7 linked regions of the Ovis aries genome follow. The protein of the gene in region 3 binds, or shares a complex with, the protein of the main gene of each other region. Links are inferred from orthologs where the notes say so. Each region holds a gene or a part of one and is shown on either strand. Other genes may lie near its edges. The genes, in order: NUP85, NUP107, E3 SUMO-protein ligase RanBP2, XPO1, NUP98, NUP214 and NUP160.

Evidence for each region.
Region 1: E3 SUMO-protein ligase RanBP2 (region 3) and NUP85 share a complex: the UniProt entries of both Homo sapiens proteins name them as parts of the nuclear pore complex. The link is inferred for Ovis aries from reciprocal best matches to the Homo sapiens genes RANBP2 and NUP85.
Region 2: E3 SUMO-protein ligase RanBP2 (region 3) and NUP107 share a complex: the UniProt entries of both Homo sapiens proteins name them as parts of the nuclear pore complex. The link is inferred for Ovis aries from reciprocal best matches to the Homo sapiens genes RANBP2 and NUP107.
Region 4: the proteins of E3 SUMO-protein ligase RanBP2 (region 3) and XPO1 are in contact, whole or in part, in a cryo-EM structure (PDB 9B62), measured with the Homo sapiens proteins. The link is inferred for Ovis aries from reciprocal best matches to the Homo sapiens genes RANBP2 and XPO1. Residues at the interface, in NP_006258.3 of Homo sapiens: Val2508, Val2509, Ser2510, Pro2511, Pro2512, Lys2513, Phe2514, Val2515, Phe2516, Gly2841, Phe2842, Gly2843, Ser2845, Thr2846, Gly2847, Leu2848, Ser2849, Phe2850, Ala2851, Leu2853, Ala2854, Asn2857, Ser2858, Gly2859, Asp2860, Phe2861, Ala2862, Phe2863, Gly2864, Ser2865; in NP_003391.1 of Homo sapiens: Trp60, Val63, Asp64, Leu83, Asn97, Gln98, Gly101, Ile102, Lys104, Tyr105, Val107, Gly108, Ile110, Ile111, Leu134, Phe149, Asp152, Ile153, Gly155, Ala156, Ser157, Arg158, Thr159, Ser160, Glu161, Leu163, Cys164, Asn167, Leu208, Phe211.
Region 5: E3 SUMO-protein ligase RanBP2 (region 3) and NUP98 share a complex: the UniProt entries of both Homo sapiens proteins name them as parts of the nuclear pore complex. The link is inferred for Ovis aries from reciprocal best matches to the Homo sapiens genes RANBP2 and NUP98.
Region 6: E3 SUMO-protein ligase RanBP2 (region 3) and NUP214 share a complex: the UniProt entries of both Homo sapiens proteins name them as parts of the nuclear pore complex. The link is inferred for Ovis aries from reciprocal best matches to the Homo sapiens genes RANBP2 and NUP214.
Region 7: E3 SUMO-protein ligase RanBP2 (region 3) and NUP160 share a complex: the UniProt entries of both Homo sapiens proteins name them as parts of the nuclear pore complex. The link is inferred for Ovis aries from reciprocal best matches to the Homo sapiens genes RANBP2 and NUP160.

The regions. Positions count from the first base shown.
Region 1 is NC_056064.1:55,591,272-55,595,279, forward strand, and holds part of NUP85 (nuclear pore complex protein Nup85), read right to left. Parts: intron 3,198-4,008; coding exon 3,063-3,197; intron 2,970-3,062; coding exon 2,847-2,969; intron 2,646-2,846; coding exon 2,514-2,645; intron 2,274-2,513; coding exon 2,167-2,273; intron 1-2,166. UniProt on the Homo sapiens protein: Essential component of the nuclear pore complex (NPC) that seems to be required for NPC assembly and maintenance. As part of the NPC Nup107-160 subcomplex plays a role in RNA export and in tethering NUP96/Nup98 and NUP153 to the nucleus.
Region 2 is NC_056056.1:151,262,030-151,266,037, forward strand, and holds part of NUP107 (nuclear pore complex protein Nup107), read right to left. Parts: intron 3,809-4,008; coding exon 3,696-3,808; intron 3,127-3,695; coding exon 3,024-3,126; intron 2,437-3,023; coding exon 2,276-2,436; intron 1,663-2,275; coding exon 1,537-1,662; intron 1,158-1,536; coding exon 1,044-1,157; intron 1-1,043. UniProt on the Homo sapiens protein: Plays a role in the nuclear pore complex (NPC) assembly and/or maintenance. Required for the assembly of peripheral proteins into the NPC. May anchor NUP62 to the NPC. Involved in nephrogenesis.
Region 3 is NC_056056.1:62,092,648-62,096,492, reverse strand, and holds the end of E3 SUMO-protein ligase RanBP2, read right to left. Parts: intron 3,316-3,845; coding exon 3,170-3,315; intron 2,485-3,169; coding exon 2,211-2,484; intron 2,094-2,210; coding exon 1,768-2,093; intron 1,437-1,767; coding exon 1,131-1,436; 3' UTR 924-1,130; downstream 1-923. UniProt on the Homo sapiens protein: E3 SUMO-protein ligase which facilitates SUMO1 and SUMO2 conjugation by UBE2I. Involved in transport factor (Ran-GTP, karyopherin)-mediated protein import via the F-G repeat-containing domain which acts as a docking site for substrates.
Region 4 is NC_056056.1:46,578,218-46,582,225, reverse strand, and holds part of XPO1 (exportin-1), read right to left. Parts: intron 2,804-4,008; 5' UTR 2,798-2,803; coding exon 2,672-2,797; intron 1-2,671. UniProt on the Homo sapiens protein: Mediates the nuclear export of cellular proteins (cargos) bearing a leucine-rich nuclear export signal (NES) and of RNAs.
Region 5 is NC_056068.1:50,026,983-50,031,777, forward strand, and holds the start of NUP98 (nuclear pore complex protein Nup98-Nup96), read left to right. Parts: upstream 1-1,638; 5' UTR 1,639-1,801; intron 1,802-4,795. UniProt on the Homo sapiens protein: Plays a role in the nuclear pore complex (NPC) assembly and/or maintenance. NUP98 and NUP96 are involved in the bidirectional transport across the NPC. May anchor NUP153 and TPR to the NPC.
Region 6 is NC_056056.1:5,536,779-5,540,786, forward strand, and holds part of NUP214 (nuclear pore complex protein Nup214), read right to left. Parts: intron 3,416-4,008; coding exon 3,328-3,415; intron 1,203-3,327; coding exon 1,141-1,202; intron 1-1,140. UniProt on the Homo sapiens protein: Part of the nuclear pore complex. Has a critical role in nucleocytoplasmic transport.
Region 7 is NC_056068.1:76,487,490-76,491,497, forward strand, and holds part of NUP160 (nuclear pore complex protein Nup160), read right to left. Parts: intron 1,550-4,008; coding exon 1,339-1,549; intron 790-1,338; coding exon 567-789; intron 1-566. UniProt on the Homo sapiens protein: Functions as a component of the nuclear pore complex (NPC). Involved in poly(A)+ RNA transport.

The sequences.
Region 1 (4,008 bases), on a different chromosome or scaffold from region 3:
GGCTGTCTGCCCTGCCCTGGGGCTGCTGTCGTTCTGTGAAGTACATGCCAGGTCCCCTTTTCCTTTTGCTGGATGGCAAGAATTGGCAGCTGCAACCCACAAGAGAAGAAATCCAATTTTTCCTCCAGCTGTGGATATGCCAGGCAAACACGTGGTGGCCCTTCAGCAGAAGCTGGTAAACTGTGATCTCCCAGGGCCTCCCTGGGATTCCCTCATGGCTCAGATGGTAAAAGAGCCTGCCCACCATGCGGGCGGCGTGAGTTCAATCCCTGCGTCAGGAAGATCCCCTGGAGAAGGAAATGGCAACCCACTCCAGCATTCTTGCCTGGAAAATCCCATGGACTGAGGAGCCTGGAGGCTACATGCAGTCAATAGGATCACAAAGAGCTGGAGATGACTGAGTGACTACACTTTCAGGGTCTCTCTGCTCTGCCTCTGGAGCCCTGTCTGCCCCACAGCCTGGCATGGTTGACATGGCAGCATCAAGTACCCCTATAGAAAGCTTCCTTCTAGCTGAGGAAGGGTTCCCTCATTCTCCCTAAGAGGAGTGAACAGCTGACACCAGACCTGCAGCTCAAGGCTCCCCTACACCACCAGCGCCCCAGCGAGACAGAGGCGCTACTGTCCCCTGGGAAGCGAGCTGGGGCCTAACCACAACAACCCATGAGAAAGCTAGTGCTCAGGAGACCCCAGATCCCACCCTTCCTCGTCCAAGAGGGCACTCTCTCTCTGAGGATACTTCAGCCCTTCTTTCAATTAATGGGCAGAGGTCTGGGACCTGCTTTTCAGAGTACGGCAGGAAGAAGCTTACTGATCAGGAAAACCCGAGCTCCTAGATTCCGAGCTAGTGGAAATACCTCGATTTTTTTCCTGCCTGCCAGGGTAGACGGACACCCAGACTGAGGGGCTGCAAGTCTGATCATTCCTCCTTCAAGACTGGCAGGGGTGATGCATTTTTCAGCGGCGTTCATTAGCACCACGCCTCTTTGTTACACTTCTTTACCTTTTCCTTCTACAACCACTGAAAACAGCAAGGTGCTTTACCTTTTTTATTGTCCTTCCTTCCTCTTTAGCTCAAATCTGTCTTGATCCTAAAATCCCAGATGTGGCTTATGAAGGAAGCCCTCGAAGAAATAACCCACTGCCTGTAACAGACAACACATTCTGGAATGCCTATTGCTTTGAATTAGAGACAGAGATACTGACAAAGCTAAAGACTAGTGTCTGTGCCTCTGGGAGCCATCCCCACTGATCCTTCACTGCAGATACAACCCCTTGCCAAAATCAGCTGAATTCTGTTAAGTTATCTTCCAGTTCCAACCAGTCCCTATTTTAGAGGTTTGTGAAAAGAATATGGACACAAACCTTCCTTTCTCCAAGTCTAACACCATTTTCTGAATGGTGGGCCTTGGCTTTCTTTTAGCCAAACAGAAGAGCAGGTAGCATGGGTGGGGTGGGGGTGGGGGGTGGAATCGGGGAGACCTTCCCACTGCCCAGATTCACTAACAAAGAAAAGATCCAGTGTGGAGGTCAGTGAATTCAATGCCTGAGCAGGGCCACCTGCCCCAGTGGTTCCCAGCCTTCTCCCTCTGCACGAAGAGGGAGGGGAAGTTCTCTCTGACCGACTACATGTGGGGATTCTGGAAAGCTTTGCTTTGGATTCATTGTTTCACGCTCCCTTTCCTGCCTTGCTGAAGGTCTGGGGAGAGATCTGGGGAGAGGGCTGGTGTAGAGTCTCTGCTCTGAACAGACCCAGCCCCGTGTGGTGGCGTGGTAGCTCCTGGCTCACCAGAGAAGTGCTGTCCTGTAAGGTAGCTGCATGTCCATCAGGTTCCAAGAAACAAGCTGGCTGGCTATTTCTGGATTTTAAATACCATAGTAATTTCTTGCAATATTACTTTAAGTAAACATCCCTAAAGTGTAAACTGTTAAAGATACAGGAGCCTGCAAGCCTCAGGAAGGCCCCCAGGCTTGTCCAGAGAAGACACTGTCTACCTAATGTGGCGGGGGGTGCGGGTCTGTGGGAAGAAGCCTAAGACACCAACAGGAAGGAGCAGGACGCTCTGGAAAAGGACGGCGGTGATGGGCGTGTGACATGGTGAATGCACCAGCCGCTGCACTGCAGCCCTGAGGCGCCCAGCATGGTGGTGGTGCAGCGGGTCCTACCTGCACTCCTTGATCACTTGGTGGATGTCAAACTCGAACGCTGCCATCAAGATGTTGTCCAGGGGCTCTGGGCTGCTCTCACCTCCCAGAAACAGGTCAAGGCTGGACTGTGGAAAGGTGGTGACCCATTCAGTCCCTGGATGGTGGCAGAGACTCAAGGGGGCAGGCAGGGCTGCTGTGTAGGGGACCCGGGAGAAGGGCAATGGGGTCCTTCAAACTGGGCCCAAGGAAAGCCCCCTCTGTTCCCCAGGGAGGGTCAAGTCAACAAGGCCACACGGTGAAAGTGACTGGCAGGGAGTGGAGCCCCGGACGCCGACTCCCCTCCCCTCCTGGAGGAGCTGACGCACCTGAGCGTAGAGGTGCAGATCCATGGGCTTGACCGTAGGCTGAGAGTACAGCAGCCGGGTCACCAGGAAGTGATACCAGTTACTCAGAAGCTCCTTCTGCTCCAGCAGGGCGGCATCATCTCCCAGCAGGACCTGAGAAGAGACGCTGTCCCTTAACTCTGGGGACACTTCCCTGTAAGGCTCATCTCAGCTGGAGCAGCTGAGTTAAAAGCTCACTCCTTCCCAACAGGGCCCACACAGAGCCCCGTCTGAGGAGGAGCTGCTGCTGAGCTGGATGCCAGGACTCCAGGAGGAGCTGGCTTGGCCCCTGGCCAGGACCCGCTCCCAGCAGACCTTGCAGAGGGACTCGAGGTGGGGGTTGGAGGCGAACGTGCCGTCCTGGAGGTGCCGCTCGCATTCCTCGTGCCAGTGCTGCCACCTCAGCTCCAGCTCCGTCAGGGTCTGCGTGTTCCCAGGCTGTGGGAGAGACGCAGACAGGGGCGGTCACCACGGCAGCCCCTCACGCTCCCTGTATAAACCTCTCTCTGCGACCCAGGCGGCTCCACATACGCTGAGAACGGGCATGGTCCTCATCAGGTCCCCCAGGACTCGGCACATGCCTGCAGAGGTGGGGTTGGTGTCGGCTTCCTTGGAGAGCATCTGTCGGGCCTCGTCCAGCCGGCCCTGTAGCACCAAGGTGGTCACCTGGGAGGACACCAAGAACACAGCATCCAGGCGGAGGCTCAGCAGCCAGTCCCCTCAGCCTGCTTTGGCTTCCTCATCCTGGAGAAGTGTGATGGTTTCTCCGTCAGAGGTAATTTAATTCATCCAACCTTCTAGTTTCAACCCGTACCATGCTTTTCAAACTGCGTGTTGTTGTATCGCACTGCAGGTGACTGACTTTTTAAAAATGAAACAGAAAATAAAAATTACCAAAGTGCATCAAATAAAGCACTGATCTGTAAAAGTTTCAGTTAAAAGAAAAAGTTCTAGTTCAAATACTGGGTTAGCCAAATTTGGTTCAGGTTTTTGCATGCTATTTTATGGCCTGGGTTCAATTCCTGGTTGGGGAACTAAGATCCTGCTAGCCACGGCAAAAGAAAAGGAAGAAGAAGCAAGCCAAGGAAACACATGCTGCCCAGTCCCAGTCCCTTTCCCTGATTCCAAACACGCACATCCTGTTGCCAATGGCTCCACTTGGTTCACAGGCACCTTAACATGCCTCGAAATGAACACCGGGTCGCTTCCAACCCACCAACCCACATTCTTCTCTTTCTTACACATCCAATTCATTAGCGAATCCTATCACTGTACCTTTAAACTGCATCCAGAATCAAATCACTTCTTACCACCTCCTCCACTCAGCTCCTACCCGGGTCCAAGTTACCACCACAGCTGCCTGATTTAGGACCTGAGCCTCCAGGCTGGTCTCTCCGTTCTGCTTTTGCTCTATTCTCAGCAGTGCAGCCAGAAAAGCCTTTGAAAACCTAAATCAGGGACTTCCCTGCTGGTCCAG
Region 2 (4,008 bases), about 89 Mb from region 3:
CAAGGTTCAGTCAAATGCTATACCTTTTAAGCATTCTGTCCAGATCTCTTCTGGGTAGAAGCAGCCTTTGCTTTCTCTGAAGTCAGAAAATACTGCATCTGTGCTTTTTTTTTTTTTTTGGCATTTAGTACTTCTGTAACTGACTCTCAACCCAGGCTACACATTAACGCTTTCCAGGTAATTTAAACTTTTTTTTTTTTAAACCCTTTGAGGGCAAGTTGCATAATCATGTTCCATTACCTCTGAATGTTTCAGAGTTTATTTCCTAACAAAGGGATTTTTTTTCCTAATATAGTCACACTGCAGTTAATGACTTCAGAAAATTTAACAGTGATATAATACCAACATCAATGACTCAACACTGTCCTTTATAGCATCTTTTTTTCTCCAACACAGGATCCAGTTTAGAATCACATATTGTATTTAATTGTCATATCTTTTGGGGACTCATTAAAAGGTTTTTTTGTTTTGTTTTAATACAACCTTTAAAGGTTATAATCCATTTAGCTATTACAAAATACTGGCTTTACTCCCCATGTTGTACAATATGTCCTCATAGCCTACTTTACACCCAGTGATTTGTACCTCCCACCCCACAACCCCTATGTTGCTCCTCCTTCCCTCTCCCCACTGCTAGCCACTAGGGGAATCAACCCAGTATTTTTTAAAAAGTTCTCCAGGTCATTTAAATGGGCAGTTCAGAGGTGAGAGTCCCTGCTTTATGTATGTCTTACTCACTCTACTAGACTTATCTTCACCTCTACAGACTGAGTTGAATACATGAATAATTGATTTTTGGTCCAGAATTTTTAAAAATTAGATTTTACTATACTATACTGACTGAACATATTAAATGTGGAGAAATAGTTTACCCAGGAGTCAGACATTCATATATTCCCTAACTAGTATTCCAGGTTAGACTTAAATTATGGGATGTTCAGTTATAATATAGTACAAAGGTAATACAAGATCTGTAACTGCTCCTATTCAGAGAAAAAACTTAAAAAAAAAAGATGTAGCTTGTAACAATGCACAGAGCTTACCTCTCTAACATCCACCATCCACCCTCCATCAACAAACAACAAGACATTGTACATTTTTTCCTTCACATCAGCAGTTAGGGCATCCAAATGCCCTTTCCAAATACCATAATCCATCTGGAAAACAGATATAAGGCAGATATATAGTGGACTATAATATATTTGCAAAGTACAGAGATGTACATATATGGAACATCATTCTAAAGAACTGACATTCAGTAAGCCAAATACAAAATAAACATCAACAGACTGCAGTTCAATAAAACACTAAAATGTTTACCATGTAAATGAACATTATTGTCACTTGAAGGTACGTTTCATGTTTGGTTAATTATCTACAAAAAGGTAACTAAACAGATTTCTTTCTTCAAAGTATAACAGTAATAAGGAAGATCAACTCTTATAATGGGAATATAACTGTTGAAGAAATGATCTTACATATATGACTTGTATTTCTGAGATGCAATGAGACATGTCTCATCTACATTTAACTTACCTCATATTTCTTTTCTTTGTGTTCATGAGCCACTTTCTCAGTAAAAGTTGCTTGAGTTGTCAAAGTAGGTTTTTGTGGAGCTGAATTCATATGCTTAAACCACTCATTAAAGGTTTCATGGGCTTCCTAAAATGTAAAGTAAAATAGAAAAATACAAAAAATGAAAACTTTTCACATATGTTCAATACAATTTTTAAAAATTTGGTTCTTAGAATTTTGCAGTAGTAAGAAATAAAATTGTTCAATATTTCTTTTTTATACAAAAAAATTACAGTGAATAAGTATTTTGTTTGTGATATTCACGTGCTTATCTGTGTCCTTGATGAACCTATTAGCTTCCAGAGGGAAGCAAAGAAATTCAGACTCAGTCCTAAAACCTAGCTAATCACTTTATTATTTGTTGAATGAATTCTGAATGAGTATGTTGTTATTTTAGTCATAATATAGATTATCTTGCTTTTTTCAGTTGTTGCCAAAAGCAGAAATGCTAAAGTTAAGAATTCAAAGAATCTTAAGAAAACACATGGTGTGTTGGTTAACAATGATTAGAGGCTCCTGCACATGAAGACAAGGTCAGGACTTCCAAGTTTTTAGGGATCAGTGATTCCCACAGTCACAAGGGAGGTAAGATAGTAAGTCAATCACCACTTTTCAAAAAAGTAGTTTAAGGTTTGAGAGTGAATCAGGTTTGAAAGTCATCATAAAGACAGGCACTTCGTGGTTTTCTCTACAATCTCACCAAGTAAGCTCTGATGCACAAATGTTCTCGGATAGCGTTATCATCTTCAGCAGGAAGTGGGCTATCCATTCCTTGTTCCTCCCACTGGTTATAGATTTCTGCTATTGAATCCTGAGGAATTTTCACAAATACTTCTTTTGCAGCTTCGTGCTTTTTTGAGGCTGGGAAAAAGACATATAGTTTTTCAATATACGTGGATTTCTGTGTAGTGGCTTCTAAAGGAGTCAAATTATTAGTCTACAACTTTCACCGTGGCCTGTAACCATTCAGGGCCCAAGGTACTTCTTTTAAAGGTTTGGGGGATCTTTCTACCTAATGGCTGGGCTTTTCCTTATTTCAGTGTGACAGTCACATGAAGGATTAATTAAATGTAGTTACTTTTGTTTTCATTATATATTTCAATTTTTGGCTGCCCTGCATAGCATGCCAAATCTTACTTCCCCAACCAGGGACTGAATCCAAATCCACTGCAATGGAACACGGAGTCTTAAACACTGGATCACCAGGAAATCCCACAGCTACTTTCACATACTATGTCTTAAAAAAAAATTCCATTTTTCAAAACCTTGAGATTATATATAAAATTGAGTGGGACATAGTAAGTCACTATTAAATATGTTTTGTTTCACAATATCAGCCATAAAAGTGGGTATTTTGTACCTTACCCTACTGGAAGGGTTAGAAAAACAACAAAATTTAAGAACAGAAAAAAAAAAACTTTGTAAAAATAATATAAAATAGAGCATACCCAAGAATTTCCTCATTATCGCATTGCCTTGTTTTAGTGCTTCTGCTCTCTGTGCTGGGTCGAATACCAACCAGTCAATTACATCAATTTTTAATCGGTCTTCCTATTCATTTAATTGGAAAAAAAGAAATGTCAATTGTGCTTTTTCCCTAAGATATTCTACACATTAATAGAACTGGCTTACATCTGTACTACTAATGATTATTTTCCTTCAGGTTACACAAAATTATGAAAGAAAATAGCTTTTCTTGGTTTATTTTCACATTTAATAGCTCTATATCTGATGTGCCACCAATTTAATTATCTGATTCCTTTAAGTGCTATTCTACAACCTTTTCTTTCCTAGATAAAACTTTCTATTCTTTTCTGAAAATAAGGAACAATTAAACTACATAAAAATTAGTTAACTGATCAAGTATCTAGAATAATCAGATGAGTAAAAATTCAATGCTCAGGTTTTTACTATTAAAGAAGCTTCCTTTAACATAAAACTACTACTAAGCAATTCCTTACACAAGACTTAAGTTTGCTGACAATTTTTATAACTTGGCTGACAAAGAAAAACTCTTTAAAAAATAAAGAAGCCAGAGTATTTTAAAGTAGACATTTAGAAAAAGCATAACACGAGGGATTATTCAGTCACATAATACACCTCTTGTACCCTCATATTACCTCGGTAGTACCCGTATCCAAGGCTGGGGACAGGTCATGATGACTGAATTCACCATCATCTTTCTTTCGAATATTCTCAACTACAGTTTTTGTTATAGCTGCAATATCCAAATCTAAAACATTTTTTGAAGGGACAGAAACAAGAAATTACTCATTCACACTAATATTCTTTAAATAATCACAATGATTTAGTAAATCTGGGATAACAATTCTTTAAAATATGAAAGAAATTATAAAAGAAAATACCAAAATTAAAAGATATTTTACACAATATACAGTATAAGTTATTTCATTCCAAAACAGAATTTCATTG
Region 3 (3,845 bases):
ACAACGTGCTCGGGGGACTCCGAGGTCCTACACTGAGCAGGCTGACGAAAATGTGCCCCCCGTTGTCCAGCTTTTTCCATCAGCCATTTCCAAGTAGGTGTTCAGTATATACCCGACTTGAAAACAGTCCTTTCCTTGGGAGCTCTGGAAATTAGGTGGCAGTCTGAGTTTACAGATATTTAATTATTCTTACTTTGGTTCCAGAATGAACAAACAATTAAGATGCACAAGTAATGAATTTTTTAAATATCATGGCTGTTAACAATTGTCACTTTATTTTTGCTACAAAATTCACCAGAAAAAGGTACTGCAACAATCTAGTATAAAGCAAATCTTTAACCAAAGAACATGGTATAGACCTGTTTAAAATACTCATACTTTATCACAATAACTGCAAGGAAAAATTCAAGTTCTATCAGAACCAATGCAGTTTGAGGTAGTAGAAACAGATGACAGAAAGGTTTTTTAAACAATAATTACTCAACTTAAAATGTAAAAATTAATTTAATACCTTTGAAAGGGCGCAGGAAGCTACGTATTTTAAGGAAAGAAGGTACTCTGCTTAAAAGAGAATTTAACTATACAGGAGGTGCAAGAATTTATAGAAGAGCACTTTGGTTAAGTCTCTGCCCTCTGTGGCTCTACCCATTTACAAGTGAATCTGTTCATAACTGAACACACCAATAGTTAAAATTACCAAATATAGTCCAAATCTGAAATAAAAATTATCCAAGTCATGGTCCCTTTATTCAAACAGTAAGTATATCCATGCAGGAAGTCTAATATCTTAAAAGGAACTAAAATTAAATTGCATATATCATATTCTTTCAATAGTTTGAGAAGGTCTATTGCTTTTAACAAGATTAGTATTCCATTTTAATACAAATATGTCAGGAGTACATAAACACAAGTACACCTGAAAATACACCAGTGTTTAAACTTTTATTTCACACCATGCAAGGTCAATTATAACACATTAGAAAGTGACAACAGCTATAAGCTGCAATTTTACATTTGTACATTGGAGTCCATTTTCAAAAGCTGAACATAATTAATTACCATGTTGTCAAAACAGCTAGGCCTCAATTCAACTTTTATACAGGTAAAATTTACTATGGAAAACAATGATTTTATATCTGTCCACATTCTGTGATAATAATTCTTCGACTAACAGACCCTTTAGGAGAACCAAATGACTCAATCTTTTTCACAGTATCCATACCATCTTTAACAAACCCAAATACTACATGCTTAAAGTCCAAACAGTCTGCTTTTTTCAGTGTTATGAAAAACTGAGAATTATTGGTGTCCTGGCCTCGATTGGCCATTGATAGTAAACCAGGAACTGTATGTTTCACATTAAAATTTTCATCTTCAAATTTATCTCCATAAATGGACCGTCCTCCTGTTCCATCATGTTTTGTGATATCTCCCCCCTGAAAAAAAGATTTCAATTAACAGGAATCACAAATAAAACATTAAAACACATACAGAACTAACCACTGAAGGGGTGGTCCTAAATACCCAGCTTCTCTGAGAATGCAGTTTGAAAAAACTAAGAAATTTGTGAAAGGAAACAAAAATGAAAAGATCTTTTCCCACCCTTAATTTCTATCAGGTTCAAGGCATTAGAAATATGAACGCTTTTAGGCTGCAAGTTCTTGTGGGGATAGAAGCTGGGGGTGTGGGAAAGCTATAGTCTACAATTACAGGTAAGGAGAAACACTCAGATTTCCCACACTGGTGTGATGCACACTTAAGACTTACTTGGCAAACAAAATCTGGAATCACTCTGTGGAATATGGAGCTCTTGAAACCAAAGCCCTTCTCTCCAGTGCACAGTGCTCTGAAGTTCTCAGCAGTTTTAGGAACAATGTTTGAAAATAATTCCATGGTTATGCGTCCCAGGGGCTCATCATCTGCACAAATGTCAAAAAACACCACAGGATTTGTCTCCTTTGAGAACTCTGATGTCAGTGATTTCTGGGGTTTCAATAAATTCTGTTGACATTCTTCAAATTTTTTCTTGAAACAATCAGCCATTTCTTTAGTTTTAAATCTCACTGCAAGCTGTTCCACTTTGGCTTCTCCATCTGTTAAACAACACAATGGCCTTAGTGTTAAAATAACTTAAAAAAAATTGTTTTATATATTTGTTGTCAATTTAGAAAAGTAAAAAACTGGAAAGTAGCATTGAGTGCAGAGCTCACCAGCATAATCTGAGGCAGTCCAAACTAAAGCATTGTTGGAAACATTCAAGGGTTTCAGTTCCATCGTCTTGGTGATGACATGGTTCGCACACACTTTGAACACCTGGTCTCTCCTCATCAGAATCCGAAAGTAATTCTTCACCGTGTGCCAGAGGATCTTCATGTCTCCAACGCCACGCTCTTTCCACTGACTGGCCTCTCGATCCCACCTGTAAAGTTTGGCTCTCTCTTTAAATAAAATTTCTTCATCTTCTTCTCCAGATTTTACTTCTACCTGTGACAGGAGATGAAATTACCTATAAGCTGCTGCTTATAAAATACTCATAACAAATTCCAAAGATCCAAATTCCTTAACACACTGACATGAACAGAATTTGAAAAGAGTTAACATCCTAGGGTTACTATACGGCAGATTCGGATGAGGCAGGAAAGATTTGTCATTAAATGTTTTCTTTGTACTTATTAACATCCTTCCTCTTTTTGGAAATCAAATACAATCTTTTACAGGAGAGAAGAGGTTAAAAAAAAAAAAATCTTGTTCTTCAAGAAAAATACTATCTGCTGACTAAGGTTCAAACTGATGAAAGTAATTTGCCTAAAATAACATTCCTGTCTAGAGAAAGTACAATATACTTTTTATTGAAAGGACTGTGGCAAATATCAGCTTAGATGGGTTTTTAATATTTTGCTCCTTCAATTATGTTATTGAAAACAAACAGGAAAAAATTAAGTTCTTCCCAACAATTTCACACAGAATTTTCCAAATAACATTTGTATGTAAATTTTTTTACAAGGATGATTTACATTTTAAGATTGAACTTGTAATAAAGAGCTTCCATTTGTAATGGTCAATGTTCTGAAAGAAATGCAAACAAGGTCAGCCCTACAAATCAAGCCCATGTCAAGTTTTAAACTTAAAATGTGAAGTTAGTATAAGGTTTTTACACTTTAATATTTACCTCTGGTAGTGACACTATTGGTTCAAAATGGATATCTTCATTATGAACTACCTCTTCATCACTACCATCTTCATCTTCGCCAACTTTACCAGTTGACTGTGCTCCAAACACTGCTGCTCCAGTATTTGCCCACTGGAAATTTTTATCTGATGAATAAATTAGGATATTTAAACAGTGATATCTATTTTAATAAGCTTTTAATCCCTGTTACAGTACTTTATGAATGAATCTAATTTCCAATGATGTGACATACTTCTAATAAAAATGCTTAAAACTGCATTCTCCTGGCAAGTTAAGCTCAAGTGGTGAGCACAAAGGAATGTAGTAACATTTACGCCTGGGTATACAGACAGGGTTGTATAAGCCTTAGGTCTTAGTGACACTGAACTTTTAGTAATAAAGCAGGTTCTTCATTCAAAGTGCATCCTTTGAAACCTGAAAACACAACACAGCTCCAAGGGTAGTTTATTTCATAAAACATTCTATTACATGAAAAAAGTAACTTTAGAGCCTAAGAATGTTCTCCAAGAGGCCAAATCTGCTACTTTGAAAGCAGACTGATTACAAGTTGGTAACTTCTCCACCTTAGCTCTCTTCTAAGGTAAATGGAATGAGAGCTTCAACTTCTTGCCCAGGTGGCACTGGTGGCCCCAGGAGCAGCTCACTGGCCCCACCC
Region 4 (4,008 bases), about 16 Mb from region 3:
TATATCATTCATTCTGTCATACTTTTACTCTCAAAAGTTACTTCTAGTATTTGCATCCTTTTAAAAAACTGTCCTAATCCCAGTATCCCCTTATATAACATATTCTTTTCTTAACTTAAAAGCCCAGGAGGGGTTAAAAGACACAAAAGGAAACCAAAGGGAAAATCTGGCATCTCCCTGTGCTACTAACTGAATGGTCAAAGTATTTTAGTTGCTAAGCAATAGATAAAAGAGTTCAAGACACTTAACACAGTATTGAAGAAAACACCGAACTCTATCATGTTTTTTTCTCCTGGCGGCCTACTTGGCTAAAAATGTTTATAACAGAAGGTAGTCCTAATATTACAGTGCTAAAATTTTACTATACTACCCATCTAAGCAAAAGTTCTACCTACATTCTTCTAATAATTTCTCTCCAAAGTTATGTTATCATTTCTAAAAAGTTAGGCTACATAAAGTTGAGTTTGAAAGCTTAATTAGCATAATTTCTAGTTGCTATTTTAAGTACATATTTTATGACAAACCAAAACCAAACACTCCCCACCAAACCATATATTAAAACAATGAGTTTACATCACATACATGTGCATTTACATCACATGTCTTCTTTACTATACTTTCAAAAGTACCCTTAAAGTAGCAGTCACTGGTAACAAGTGCTTTACAAAACCTCATCACTAACCCTCCAGTCTCCTCCAAGGTAGGGAACACTTTGTGGATGAGACTCCAGAGGAATGACCAGAAACCTTACTGGAATAAAATTAAGACATCTAACATTAAAACAATGCTTTCCAAACTTTTTATCCAAAATAAAAACCCTCAAAGAGGCGGTATATAAAAAACCGACTGAACAAGGAAGTTTAAAGATACCCCAACAGAAAAGGGGTTCTTAGCCGCCTTTAGGCTCTAAGCCTGTTTCCTAATCTATAACAAGTATCAACTTACTGATTATCTTTATACAACTGATTTGTCCTATGAGAGATCTAACTAAACATAAAATTTTTACTTTTGAGAAAGTTAATTTTGCTTTTATAAATGTGAAAATATTTGTAAAAACTTTTCTAAATCTACTCTCTATTCAGAAATCAAATTTAAAACAAAATCACTATATCTCAACACTATGAAACATTACTAATAGTAGTATTACACCCTACTCTTCATAACCACTATTCCAATTATAAGCGTAGAGCCCTGGTCTTTTTAGTCATCATACTTTTAGACACTGTGAACCAGGTTAAAAAAGAACAAAGACTAGACAGCAGTGGTAGCTTAATAATGTGATAAAATTGAACATCAATCTTCCTAGTGGCTTACAGACTTGTGCTTCTAATACAAAGTTGAACCCAACCTTGTTGTTGTTGTTCAGTCACTAAACATGTGACCCCATAGACTGTAGCCCTGCCAGGCTCCCATGTCCATGGGATTTCAAGAGCAAGAATACTGGAGTGGGTTGCCATTTCCTTCTCCAGGGGATCTTTCTGACCCTGGGATGGAACCTGTTTCCTGCATTGGCAGGCAGATTCTCTACCACTGAGCCACATACCCCTCACTTCATGCATTTCAATCTTACTTTCATACTTTCTTCCCAAAGCAGCTGTTTTGCATACATCATGTTGGGATGAAATGGAGCTTAAAACTTCATGTTGAACATATAATCATCAGGAAACAACTACTACATGGTAAGTGTAGTAAATACAGATACTTTTCAGAATGCTTTTGATCAAAAGTCCCTAGGAGTGTAAAACTGCACTAACAAGCTTACAAAATCACTGAAGAGTTATTTTTTGCACTCATACAACTTACATGGTCCTCAATGTTAGATTTCAGAAGGGAACAGAAATACTTATATACTTGCTAATATTTATGTACCATGTTTTTTAGACTATCTTCTATGTCCACCTTTTAGAGGTTTCTAAAAATTATGAAAGTAGCCAGGGTTTAATTAGGCAAATATTCAATATAACTCAGTATCTTAAAGATACACTATCTCCCAGAAATGTACTTTCTGGCAACAAAATTGTACTAGTAAGATATCTGTGACATCACTTTAAAAGATCTTTTTAAGCCCAAAGCAAAAACTTTTACTCATTTAGAACTTTACATTATTAAGTCCACAAGGTGAAGACTCAAGATTGTTGTTTCTTGTAACATATAAAAGTTGAAATTTACAAACACTTCTGTTTAGGAAAAAAAAACCTCAATGCCTTAAACTTATCAAAACATTGTATGTTAAGACAATCTCCTACTTTAACAGTAGCACTTTTACATGTGCTAAAATTCAGACACTTGGTATTGTTGGATTTCTAAAATAAGTTTTATCTGTGAAGTACTTCTACAATTTAAATGTTTCAAAATAGAAGACTCTATTAATTCCAATATATAGGGGACATACAACTTTTAATATCTACAAAATATTTAATACATTAGGATCTTTCAGTAAATGGGATAAAGGTTGCTGAAGGACAGAACAAGAATATTCCAAAACGTTTCACTCTAAACCGTTTGAAAATATAATGTGATTTATTTTTACAGACCACCTCTCAGAGTTAATATATATTAATTCCAACTTAATACAAACTATGGAACACTCCTTTAAATGGTGGTAATTTCAAGTTTTATTCTAAACCCGGCAACTATTACGCTGCAATAATATTTTGGTCAGCTACTTTACCTGGGCTCCTTCTCCATGGTATAAGCAATTCACCACATTGTCTAAAAGGTTGATATCCAGTTTTTGGCTGAAATCGAGCAGCTGACGAGCTGCATGGTCTGCTAACATTGTCATAATTGCTGGCATAGATTACTGAAAATAAAGAAAAAAAATTTTAAGGCGCCTATGACATTATCAGTCAGAAAGTTTTTACTCTAGTTATTTCCCTTTCACCATGTTCTTACAAATACTTTACTTTTGTATTTTGGAGATTTTTACCTAAACAACTGAGATAGTAAAAGCAAATCCTGAAGCTACTTAGGTACTCCATAACTACACTGATTATTAGGATCTACTTTATTTTTAGACCTGAGAAAAATCTTACTGTTCTTTCTACTAACATGCATATAAAGTTATCTTAACCCGTTTTAAAAAATTATTAAAGGATTTACGGCCCTAAAACATGATACAGTTCAAAGTCCTGATCTCAACTTTTCAAATGGAGATAAAGTTCATATGGATGTCCCCCTCTTCCTAAGCAGGTTCTTTCAGCTCAGTAAAAGTTCACTTTCCCTTATTTCATGCTACTTTAATTTTAAAAACATATCTAAGACACTAAAAACTAAATGTGGTATCAAAGTTTTCCTATATATAGCAATGATTTGCAGGAACTACAAGTCTAACCAATCTCATACTCTTAACTTATATAGAATTTACTTCTACATACAATGAAACCATCTATATTGTTTCTTCTTTGAATAAATGCGGGAGTTTAAATTACAAGTGTACAAGCTCCTTGAACATATATGGTCTAGAAAAAAAAAAACTTCATAGTAATATCTAAAGATTTTTTTAGAAAAATTTCCAGGTATTCGTTAGCAAAGCAAAAAGCTTGCTAACTATTCCGACAACACACCCTGCAAAAAAAAATCAAATTCTACCATAACAGAAAAAGGAGCTTCTTCACATCAAATAATGTACTGGCTGAAATCTACTGGTTCACATGCAGTGGTATCCTTTTAAGAGGATTCTACTCCAAGGGGCTGGCACATGTACACATTTTTATTGTCCAACATTATAAAAAATCTTTCCCTTTACTTTTCTTCAAAGTCAAGTGATGCTTAAGTCTGGCTAAATCAGTACTCAACCTTTTTTGGGTCAAGATGCCTCACATCAAACGAACAGGATGGCTCTTGCCAATTTAAAAAAAATTCACAACTTCATATACAATTACAGACAGACTATTCAGGATATTCCGAAAGCCACACATGAAACCTTGGGTTAAGCACTCCTGGTTTACAATACTTAGACCCAACAAGGTCATATGGTCGTCTCTACTTCTCCCCCTCTTTTTAACC
Region 5 (4,795 bases), on a different chromosome or scaffold from region 3:
TTTTTAAGTATCTCTAATCCCACCACTGAAAACCCATAATTTAGCTTTATCCATGTTTTGGGTAGAGCTCATTTCAATCTTGTATTAATGTCCCAGGAGGAGGGGGCGGTGCAGTGGTAATCCTAATAGGTTCTGCTTTCTGAGCACAGTATCTGCTATTTTGTGTGGAACCCTTAGTCACTTGGGGCTTCCCTTGTGGCTCAGCTGGTAGAGTCCGCCTGCAATGCGGGAGACCTGGGTTTGATCCCTGGGTTGGAAAGATCCCCTGGAGAGGGGAAAGGCTACCCACTCCAATATTCTGGCCTGGATAATTCTATAGACTGTATAGTCCATGCGGTCGCAAAGAGTCAGACTGAGCGACTTTCACTTTCACTTTCCACTTAGTCACTAGATCTAGTTTCCAGAACATGTTCAACTCACCCCTTTGAGATAATCTGTCTCCTGCTCTGGACTAGACCCTGGGGGGAAAGGAAAAGTGAACTCGCTCAGTTGTGTCCGACTCTTTGTGACCCCGTGGACTGTAGCCCGCCCGGATCCTCTGTCCACGGGGATTCTCCAGGCAAAAATACTGGGATGGGTTGCCATTTCCTTCTCCAGGGGATCTTCCCAACCCAGGGATCAAACCCGAGCCTCCTGTATGGCGGGCAGATGCTTTATCCTCTGAGCCACCAGGGAACACAAGAGGAAGGAACACCAATTTGAAAATAAAGCTTTAACTTCCAAGAGCCCCGCCCTGAAGATAAGACAGTAAGTAACAGAATACAAAGAAACAAAGCTGTAACAGAGGCTTGCCCAAGCATCACCCCAACTCGCTGGGACAGACTGATCCACAAAGGTATCCCAGAGGAGGCGGGATCATTTCAATTAGAACTTTAGGGGTTCCTAAAGTGCAGGTGGGAAAAAAGTCCCAATAATTGTTATTTGTACCAAACTTTAAGCTGAGCCATTCCCTTAGGGCATCACTAACACTCCCAATGCCTATGCTATGGATTCAGAGAGGGAGAGGTTATGTTGGGCTGGCATGGGTCAGGAGGCAAGAAGGCCAGGTTTGGGGGCCTTGGAGCAGCTGCAGGCGAGCTACTTAGATAGACCTAGGCGGGCCCTCCAGCTCCGCACGTGGTCTGGGCAGGAAATGAGGGCCGGACGACAGGAGCACTTTCCCATGACCACCCGCGGACTGAGGCAAAGGAAGGGTAGAACAGTTACCATGCCATTCTGGAGCTTCACTCTGATTGGCCCGAGTCTCAGCAGTCTGGGTGTCTCCGCTCCAGAGAAGGGGCGGAGCCTCGGCATAGCGTCATCACCCTTATCCCACCCCCCTCCCGATGTAGCCACTCACCAGCCCACTTCGAGGGGCCCTGTGTGACGTCACTACTCCCTCCCAGCCAACCGCGGCGACGAGGGGCGGCACTCCATGTCCCTCCTTACCGCCCCTCCCCTTTCCTCCCCCTAATTCCTTCGGTCCCGCCTCTTCCCCCCTCTCCTAGTCTCCCAAAGACAGCCCTCACGTTCGGTTTCAAAAGACCCGTGGTCCAATGACTAACAGGGCGGCTGTAGAGTGGCGGCGGCGTCTGCCAATGCGCAGACTGCGAGGGCGGAGCGCTCGCAGCGAGCCTCTGACGGCGGGCGGCGTGTGACGCAGTCGGGCCCTCTACGCGCAGCGCCCGGAGCGGCGGTCGGTATCGGTGGTGGCGGCGGCGGCGACGGTTTCGTGGCGGCCGCGCGCTGCTCTCTGAGCGGCGGGTGGTGGTCCGGCCTAGGCCTTCACTCCTGACACTTCTCCCCCGCCCCCAGCACCGCGGTAAGTCGGGAGCCAGGGTGGTGGAGGCCGGAGACCGGCAGGCTCCTCCTCCACTTTGGGAGGGCGGGTGCGCGGGGCGTCCCAGGCCCTCTCCGCGCCGAGTCTCGCGCCCTAGCGCGCACCTTCTGTCCTGAGGGAGGGGGCGGGTCTCGGGCCCCGAGGCCTGACCCTTCAGGCTTTGAGGAGGGATCGCTCTCTGTGGGTTCTGGGCCCGGGGGTCTCGCGTTGAAGCCTCCCTTGAGTGAGCGTTTCTCTAGCAGGTTGTACTCATTCATTTGCCCGTCAGTGATTAGGTGGGCAGGCCCTTTGCGGGGGCAGCGCCTTGAGAACCTGAGGGACGGTTTCCTCAGCACTTCCCTGATCATCTGCGGGATTGGGCTTTGTTTGCTTTGGCTTCTCCAAGGGGAAATTTGCAACCCCTGGGGAGGGTGAGTGGGTCTGGAGTTTGTGAGCTTATTAAAACTGTATCTGAGAATTAAGGTCATTTAATGGAGTGAAACCTTACTTTTTGTTCTCCCACGTGTCCCACATAAAGCTAGACGAGAAACAGGGTGAGGTTTCTGGATTACTTACTTTAGCCTTAAGGACCTTGGAAATTAAGTCAATTCCCCTACCCCATGTCACGTGCAAGTTTCATAGGTGGAGAAGCTGAGGCCCAGAGGAAAAACAGTACTAGAAAGTGCCAGAAATTTTTCTACTATACTGCCCTCCCTGGGCGTTCTAGCCCCCCATTACTGAGGATTCCCTTTAGAAAAGTGGAGGGGTCAAGATGGTGACATTGAGTAGTTGGAAGCAGAAACCTAGTTTTCAATATCGTTTCCGATTTGGTTGCTACCCGCCCAGTTCACCGTAAGGCAAACGCTTCCTTAGTGGAACGCTAGCCTAGACCATGAGAACTAAACTCAAAAGTTGAAGAACATCAGGGGTATCATGTATTGGGAATGAACTGATAAGGCTACATATTAGTGGCTAGTTTCCTGATGTAGGTCTGAAATTTTTATTTGTGTCGGCTACTGAGGATTCAGAAGAAAGGGTCCAGTTAGTGAGCTACAGTAGAGTTGAAATAGAAAACAGGAAATAAAGACAAGACTTAGAAAGATACACTAGCAGTCATTTGGCACTTCTTGTATCTTGGGACTCAACTCCTCTCTTACCGAATTCGAAAACATAGAATAAGGTGAGAAAATTAAACTATTTTGGGAGAAGAAGCTAGGGAAGAAAGAAGAGAGCAGTGATCATTCCCTGTGATAGTCTTATAAATTCAGAAAGAAAGAAACACTTGTTAGATGGCGTGTTTGGAACTTGTTGAAGTTTGGATATATAGAAAACAAACCAGAAGTTGGACAAGAAGGAGGTCCTGGGAAGTACTTTTGATAAATTTATTTTTTGACTCATCACTTTCCTCTTGTTTTGATGATGAAGCAAAAATTGAGAAATGTAGTGTATAAGAGCAGAAGCTGTAGTCTTATAATACTAAGAGGTGAACAGGGTGTGTTTTCTGTGCCATTTTCTCTTCTGGGAAGCCTCCCCCGGCATTCTTTCCCCTGCAGCCTTCTATAACACTTATTTGATACTTCAGTTTATGACACCAGTCATTTTGTATTTCAGCTGTGTCTTTTTATTAGACTGGTAAAAAGTTTTTTGTCTTGTATTCAGTTTGCTTTTCACATAGTAGGCCCTCAGTAAGTATGCTTGTCTGGATGGATAAACAAATTGGAGGAGTTAAGCCTAAAAGTAGTCTATAAAGAGGCTAGGTATTTGTGCACTCCTGAAATATCAGGCCCAGATAAGAGGACCCATACCATTTGTGTGTTATGTTGTACTTTGATACCTGACTGTTCATGTCCATTTGCTCCTAGACAGCTAATAACAAGCACAACTTTTAGGGAACCAGATTCATAGCTTGGAAATGTTACTTCCTTTGATACTTTTATAGTAGCAAGTAACCTTAGGAGGTAAGGGGTAGTAATACTGATGTTAAATTTCCAGTAAATAAAGATCACATCTGTAATTATGCAATCTTTTCAAAGCTTAAGGGAATAAGAAATTTAGTGATTTAACAATAAGTATTAGAGACAAAGTATATAAACAATGTTTCTTGAGAATTTGGCACATTCTGTGTGTTTAGAATTGAACCTAAGTATTTTTCATTTATGTATTGTATTTTACCCATTAGATACTCATAACACCCTCTCTCCAAGATTTAACATTCAAGAATGTCTTCAAACATTTTCAAATGTTACTTGAGAGGCAAAACTGCCCCTCAGTGAGATTGGTGCTCTACAGAGAACGTTCCCAATATTTCAATAAAAAATCTTACGTTTATCATACTTTGTCTATGTTTGTGGAGTCAGCTAATAAGTTGCATTTGGTTGAGATATCCTTGAAAACCCTTAAATTGTCAAAATCTGGGATGGGGAGCTAAAAAGAGTACTAGAGTTGCTTTCTTTATTTTCTCCTTCCATGTCTGTCACAGCCTCCCTTTCTCTGGGATAGGAGAAATTAGAGTCCTGTTTGAAAGGGGATAGGTCATTGGATAAATAGAGCAATATTTATTTCATTTTTTTGTGGAAAAAGGCAAAAGAGCTTGTACTTGAATTGATACAATTAAATGCGATGCTATATCTGGTCCTAAGAGTGAAGCTGGGAGGCAGTAGGGTGAGTGGAAAGATGTGAAACTGAAGTCAGAGGATTAGAAGAGGGCTGGTCTTGGGACTCCTTTATATTTTTAAGAACCATTGCAGACTCCAAACAGCTTATGTTTATGTGGCTTAATATTTACTGTACTAGAAACAGACCAACTTTGAAAAGATTTATTGATTTAAAATTATTTTGCTTTAAATAACAACTTTATGAAAAGTTACTAAAAAATTTAGTGATAAAGGTGGCATTGTTTTGCATTTTTGCTAATCTTTTTAATGTCTGGCTTAACAGAAGACCACTGAGTTGGCAGATTTTATGCATTCATATGGTTGGTATGTTATTTTAGTTGAA
Region 6 (4,008 bases), about 57 Mb from region 3:
ATAAACACTTTTATAATAAAAGCTTTCTTTTTAAAACAGAAGTAAACTCAATTACTTTGAACTGAGAACTTGAAGGCACTTAAAAAATACATCTGGTTTCTGATAGGTCCTCAAAGTCTTTTAAACATTAAAAACATGCTGGTAGATGTTGGTCTGAGCGTCCCAGCTGGCTCAGTGATAAAGAATTTGCCTGCAATGCAAGAGACTCAGGTTCAATCCCTGGGTTGGGAAAATCCCCAAGAAAAGGAAATGGCAATCAACTCCCAGACAACCCCATGGACAGCAGGAGTCTGGCGGGCTACAGTCCATGGGGCTGCAAAAGAGCCAGGCCTGACTCAGTGACTAAACAACAACAGACGCTGGCAGATCTGCACCAGCGTGCGCGGGACAAGTGTGTCTCCCGATAGGTTATCAAGGAAAGAAACACGAGTTTAGTCTTTCCTTTCTACAGTACTGCGTGTGTGTTCAATCACTCAGGCCTGTCGGACTCCGTGGACTGCAGCCCACCAGGCTCTGTCAATGGAATTTCCCAGGCAAGAATACTGGAGTGGGTTGCCATTTCCTCCTCCAAGGGATCTTCCCAACCCAAGGATTGAACCAGCATCTCTTGCGTTTCCTGCCTTGGCAGGTGGATTCTTTACCATTGCCTATCTCAACCTACAAATTGATACAATTTTGACTTCATTTAAAAAATTTTTTTAAAACAAAACAAACAAAAAAAATTTTTTTAAATTATGAAAGTATGATAACACTCTACAGGAAACTGGGAAAATACAGAACAAAGTTACATATAGTTTCACTACATATTATGATTATTAAAAATTGATATAATTTTAAATACCATATGACAAAGATGGAGAAAGAAATTTTAATTTGCGTGTAAACATTCACATTTAAAGCACAGCCTTGCCTTTCTAAAAGCAAACCCTTTCTGAGTTTTTAACTATGAAGACAAAAGTCATTCCCCACAGTTTCTTAAATCCAGCCTATTTCTAATGCATAATATCAACACCAAGTTCACTGCAGATACTTTAAGCAAAATGCAGCAGCAAGTAAAATGTCAACCAACCTGCCTCCCTCAAACCTGCACTTGTTTAGAGGGAAACACGAAAGTGAGGCGACTCAATGCAGAGACTGTACCTTGTGTGGCAGTGAAGTTAGAAGACGGTGTTGGTGTGACTATCCCAAAATTAAAGCCAGTCCTAGGGGTGGAAGAAAAGAAGTTAAAAACGAACAGACTTAAGGCGCAACACTGCCCTTTAACAGTACATTTATAATCCATTCACATAATCTACTCTCAGGGACTTGCAATCTATCGATAAACATCAGCAAGCGCATTGCCTCTGAAGCAGCAGCGCAGAGCTCTCAGAGCGTGGGGGGGAGCGATGTGTGGGTGAGGTGAGAGGGAAGCAGCCAGTGAGGAGGCCTTGGAGGAACAGCCAGGCTTCCCATGGTAGAGGGGGTGGGGACCTATTTCAAGGAAAGTGAAGGAGCACTAGGACTGTGCCTTGGGATGGTGGCTGGAGCGGTTGGCTCGCCTAGTGAGGCGGACGGGATGGGCTAGGTGAGGAGGAGCCTATGACCCACCCAGGGAGCACGTCAGGACAGCGCATGCCACTGGGGGAGACAACAGACAGTATGAAATGGAAGCCACTGTCTTTGCTGTTCGGACAAAACGCTTAGTCCTCGGCTGGGAAATTTGGTTCAGAAACTTTAAAAAAAAAATTTTGGTTGCACCAAGTGGCTTGTGGGATCTCACTTCTCTGACCAGGCACTGCACACAGCCCACAGAAATGAAAGCGCTGTAGCTGTACCCTAACCACTAGGCCACCAGGAAAAGTCCCTCAAAAACCTATCTGATTCTTTTCATCCTCTCCTCTCTTTCTGTACATTTTCTTCACCCTGTGAGTGAAGACAATATAAGCAAAGAAGAAAACTCAGCACCAGCTGAGCCAGAATGGAGTACTCATTCTGAGAAAAGTTCAAATAGCAAATTAAAAACTGTTGGATTGGTCAAAAAGTTCATTTAGGCATTTCTGTAAGATGTTATGGAAAACCCCAAACGAACTTTTTGGGCAACCTGATAAAAAGCCGAGCATATCAAAAAGAGTAAGTAACAGTAAAGAGTAGAGTTGGGTTTTTTTTTAAACTCGTCACTGGCTTCATCAAATGGTCCAAGACCACCTAAGATGTGTTAAATATTTTATCATCTTAAAAAAAAGAAAACAAATCTCTTTCTTTGTCTCAACTCTGGTGAAGAAATTTGATGTAACAGAGGTAAGCAGCTGACCTATGACCCAAACCTCTGTAGGTTATTTTAAAGACGGGAAGAAGAGTATCAGGTTCACAGAAGTAAAGATTAATTAACAGATGCGGTAGCTCCTGGAACTGACCTACTCTCTAAAACTGTGCTCCAAACTACCTTTGGGGAGTAGAAAACTAATGATTTACAGGAAAATATATATGATTTCCCCCTTAAAATTCTATTCTAACACCCTCCTTTCTCGTAATGTGTTAGGCTGAAGGGTGTTCAAGAAACAAACTCACAGCAGGGAAAAGAGACTGTGGTCAGTGTGATTCCAGTTACAAAAGCATAAACTGGAAGAGCTTAAGAGACTTTTCTAGTGGAACTGAATGTGCAACCCTTCACAGTGAAAACAATCTTTGGATGAGTATTTATCTCAGCCACACAGAGACTAACTCCACCCCAAAGAAGAGAGATGCTCTGCCAACTCTCACAGGTTTCATGATGAGTGTTCGCAGGATAGTGAAAAGGTATGCCCCCTCCAACGTTAATAAGAACTTCCTTTGGACTGAGGGTTAGAAGACCCTTTTGTTTTTAAAAATAACTCAATTTGACAAGTACAGACATCATCACTTTAAAAAAAATGAAACAGAAATGGACTTCCCCACATCTATATAAAACCCCAATTCTTAAATGGCCACTGTCTTGATTGCTCAGCAGTCTAGTATAATGTGACCTCTCGGGGCAGCGAAGCCAATCCAAGGTCTCACCCAGCCGCCAGATGGTGTCAGAATGAAAAGATCTCGGTGTGATAAACTAGAGCAACCACAGACCCACTACCCAAACAAGGCTTATCCTAAACAACAAAACAAACAAGCCAGTAAGAACACACATATAAAACTGAATCGAAAAGGGCAAACAGATTTACATTAGGACACTAAGCTACTCCCACTATCATTAAATGTGTCACTGTGGAGATAAGAACTCTGGCTTCATATAAGTATACCCGCTGACTATAAGATTTGGAGAAGCAATCTATAAGGATTTTGTGATCTGCCACAAAACTTAAGTTTACAACTGACCCTGATGAAAATGAGAAAGGCTTGCTGAACTGCCCAACAGTAGACGGGGTAGAAGTCACAGCTGTTTCTATCTTGGTTGCCACTGGTCCTGGAATTATGGGAAAAAAAGAAGAGCATTACAAAAAAACCAACACCATTTTAGTTTAATTCTCTGTGGCACTGAATGCTTAGTGCCACGCAAAGCGCAGCCCCAGGTCACGTGCTTCCTGTAGGTCAGCAGTCAAGGGGAGAGTGAGGACTCGGTCGTGCTCAAGGTCTCTGAATGGGCTCTCTGGCCCTGTCAACTGTCAATTTCAAACCAAGGCATGCCACTTTACCCTTTCCAGGAAAGACATCAAAGTAACTGGAGTGCAGGTCAAATTTAAGGCTTTAAAAGTAGATTCTGCAATTAATGAAATGTGATACATGTCAAAGGAAAAGAAACTCCAAGGGGAAACAGGTCATGTGAAACATCTCTGAGTAGTGACTTCACGGCTGCTGGCTTTCTCGCCGCATCTGTTTTTCCAGAGACTTCTTGTATTACTATTAGTTAATAACAGGTCTGCTTCTTTATTTTTTATTACAGAGGTAACACGACTGCTGTCACACAGAGAAGAGTGGAGAGTTAAAGTGTAGCCCGTCGTCTCCCCACATGTGGTGTACTGTGGCTGCTCACTAACAGGCTGGGGCAGTACCCACACT
Region 7 (4,008 bases), on a different chromosome or scaffold from region 3:
CAGGGCGTCGCCCTAAGGACGCTTATGGCGTTTATTGGAGTGAGATGAAGAACAGCCCCGCCCTGAGGGCTTCGAGCAGTGGAATGGCATGACTCAACGGAGGCATGACTTCTCCGTCTGCCTGAGAAGTTTCTGCAGAGGGCTAAGGACAGATCTGGAAAGATAATTAGGAAGCAAACGCGATAGTTCAGGTAAGAGAAGGTGGTAACTTGGAGCATGGTAGCAGCACTGAGCTTCCTTGTTTCAGTTAAACTTATTTTAGTCACAGCACCTCAAACTGAAAACAGACATCAGGCAACTCATCTCTACTAAAGGCCTTAGAATAGGCCACCTTATAGCCACCTGTTTTCCTATATTCCAGTAAGCTGCAGTTCCTCATTCACCGTATAAAATCCCACCCTCTTGGGAAAAACTGTGAAGTGTTAGGGACTCATTAGGAAAGTAATAATGAATTTAGGATGGTTTGGAAGCAGTTCCTGCACTGGATAACGGCCCTGGACTTCTAACATCTGTCTTAATGCCAGTATCTGTTTGAAATTAAATCCATGTTGCATTCCCGTTCTTACCAGGTACGTCATAAGGAGGTAGTTTAAGAACAAAGATCCCCCCAGAGGCAGATGGCAGAGCAAACAGAGCCTCCCCATCATTGCTCAGCCAGGCTGCTGAGGCGGCAGAACCAGGGGAGAGGCCAGGCACTGACGGGATCAACTGATAGTTGCAAGGATCCCTAAAATCAACTTTTCCAATGTCAGTGAATATTGACTGCATCTGACTTTCGATTGCCAACTCCTGTGGAGAAATGAAAAAGAAAAATCTGTTAAAAACAAAATAAATGAATTTTGCTCAGTTCCTCCCAATTGCTATCAATGTTTTTAAAGTAAAAAATTGTTGAGTTGAAAAAAGAAGCTGTTCTTTTTAATAAAACTATTTTTGCAACTTAGAATGTATTTGATCATTTTAAATAGTAACTAGGAAAGTATGAGGCTTCCCCAGCAGTTCCTCGGTAAAGAATCTGCCTGCAATTCAGGAGATGTGGGGTCGTTCCCTGGGTGGAGAAGATCCCCTGGAGGTGGAAGTGGCAACCCGCTCCAGTAATTCCATGGACAGAAGAGCCTGGGCAATTCCACGGACAGAGGAGCCTGGCGGGCTATATTCCATAGGGTCGCAAATGAGCCGATCATGACTTAGCGACTAAACAACAATGCCAGCACGGAAGTGTGCTTGGTTAGGGCTAGCCAGGAATCCATCCTTTCTTCAGTTCCAAAGGACACTGCTCTAATACTAAATTTGCGACCAAGTAATCTGAGAAATAAAGGACATTATACTTAACCAACTTACACTCCTATACATCCGGGAAGGGTGTGGTAAAAGCAATCTATGCACGGTCTGATTGGTCAATATCAAGATCATCACATGATTCTGAGTCTCAGAGACATGAACTCCTCCGGGTAGAAGGACGCAGTTTTGGAATTTGAGGCGAACTGCATTATTCAACAGATTTATGTCCAGTGACTCTTCCACCAGCTCCAATGTATCTCCAGAGGTTTTCCTATTAAAAAGAGACATTTGTAAAAAACAACAAAAAAAAGAGTTTACACTTTTCTTTCTGATTGTTGCATGGAAATGTATGACAATAGTTTTCAGGTGAACTCTAATTCAAAAATTTTGGATAAGCAAACTCAAATCAATTCTGACATTCCAAACCACATTGTATAGTCTACAAAACACAGCATTATATACAATTCAACTATTATTATATGATTCTCTGTTAAATGGAGACATTTCCAAACTTGATAGTATGTTTAGAACAAAGTGTTAAGTCGCTTTAGTTAGTTCTGACTCTTTGTAACCCTATGGACTGCAGCCCTCCAGGCTCCTCTGTCCACGGGATTCTCCAGGCAAGAATACTGGAGTGGGTTGCCATGCCCTGCTCCAGGGGGAATCTTCCCGACCCAGGGACTGAACACAGGTCTATCTTATCTCCCCCATTGGCAGACGGGTTCTTTACCACTAGCACCACCTGGGAAACCTTTAGAACAATAGTCAATTCAATTAAACTCCACTAGGATTAAAATTCACACCACACACTCACAACTTATAGTGTAACATGGCCTCTACATATAATCACTATAGCCATCAAACTACAGTGATCTTATAAGTCCCTTCTAAAGCTTCCTCCTGCTAGGAAGCAGGAAGAGACTCCTGCTCACGTATACCTCTGCTATGCGGTAGCTTCAGAACCACAGACAGCACCATGCTGGCCGTGTCCTAACCAGATCTCATCTACTGCACTACCCGATTCTCCTCTCTGTCAGCGGGTTTCCACCTACAGGATCTAACGCTTCATGATCTGAGGTGGAGCTGATGTCACAATAACCAAGGTCACCGCAGATGTAATGTGCCTGAATCGTCCTGAAACCAGTCCCCCCACCCCAGATCTGTGGGAAAATTGTCTTCTGTGAAACTGGTCCTTGGTGCCAAGAAGCTTGCGGACCACTGCTATGGGCGATCACCTTTGGTTTAACAGCTTTGACTGACGATGATTTCTAAATCTGTATCTTCTTCAGCCCACACTCTCCACTCACCTCCTAACTACTGCCTCAAACTTGCACTTGTACATCAGGGATCTCAAACTACACCTGTCCGAAACAGAATTCCTGGACCCAGCAAACCAGGAAAACATCTGCTTCACCTCCACTTCTTTCCCAACTCATGGATGGCGTCTCTGTAACTTCCAGTTGCTCATGCCAAAAACATGGGGTTCACCCTTGAATTTTTCCTTTCTATATACCCTACATCTGATCCAACACTAAATTCTAACAAAATAGTTTTAAAGCATATCCACTATTAGAAGATTTCTCACAGCCTCTAACAATACCAAACTCATTGTAAGCCGCCACCATCGTTTGTGTGGATTGTGGCACCAACCTCTAATTGGCCTCCCTGCTCCCATCCCTTCCTACTACACTCTGTTCTCAACACAGCAGACAAGCACCTTTTAAAAACACTGTTATTCATAATACTTCTTCACTTAAAACCCTCCTCTCACTTAAAGTAAAAGTCACAGCCTTGAAATAACTGACAAAGCCCTAATCTGCCCCTTGGCTACCTTATTCCTCCATCCTTCATTCTCTCAAGAGGCAGACTTCTGGCCCTTTCCCATTCTTTGAAAACAACACACAAGCTCCTGTCTCGGGATTTTTGCCCTTTTTCTTCAAAGACTCTACCTGAAATCTCACCCCCTGGGTACCCTTATTTCCTCTGCTCAAATGTTAACTTATCACTGGGTCTTGCCCAACTACCCTATGTGAAATATTAAACATAATAATTCCCCTTCTCCCTTCCCTGTTCTCCATTCCACATATCACCTGATGAACTACTGTTTTTTGGGGTTACTGTTATTGATCAGCTTCTGCTGAGAGCAAGGACTGTCTGCTTTATTCCCTGCTATGTTCCCAGTCCCTAAACATTCACTGGAACACATTGTGTGTCTGCAAAGTCACTTCAGTCTGACTCTTTGCAACCCAAAGCCCTACAGAGCTTGCCAGGATCCTCTGTCCCTGGGATTCTCCAGGCAAGAATACTGCAGTGGGTTGCCATGCCCTCCTCTAGGGGATTTTCCTGACCTAGGGATCGAACTCACATCTCTTGTATCCTCTGTACTGGCAGGGAGATTCTTTAGCACTGGTGTCGGAACATATTAGGCACTCAAAAATATTTCTGAAATCAATGAGATTTGCACCTCTAACACAGGTCTTTCTTCTGAACCTATAAATTTCAATGCCTACTTGACACTGTCAAAATGCAACTACACAGACACTTTAATAGCACGGCTAAAAGAACTACTTAACACCCGTCCAAAACCCATCTTCTACATCTCAGAAGACGGCAATCCTTCTGCAGGATATCTGGTCAGTCACACCAAAAGACGGGAACTTGTCCTTGCTCCCTCCTTTTCCCTTACCATCCTTTATCCCATTGTCAGTCTATCACCTGGTCCTAATGAAG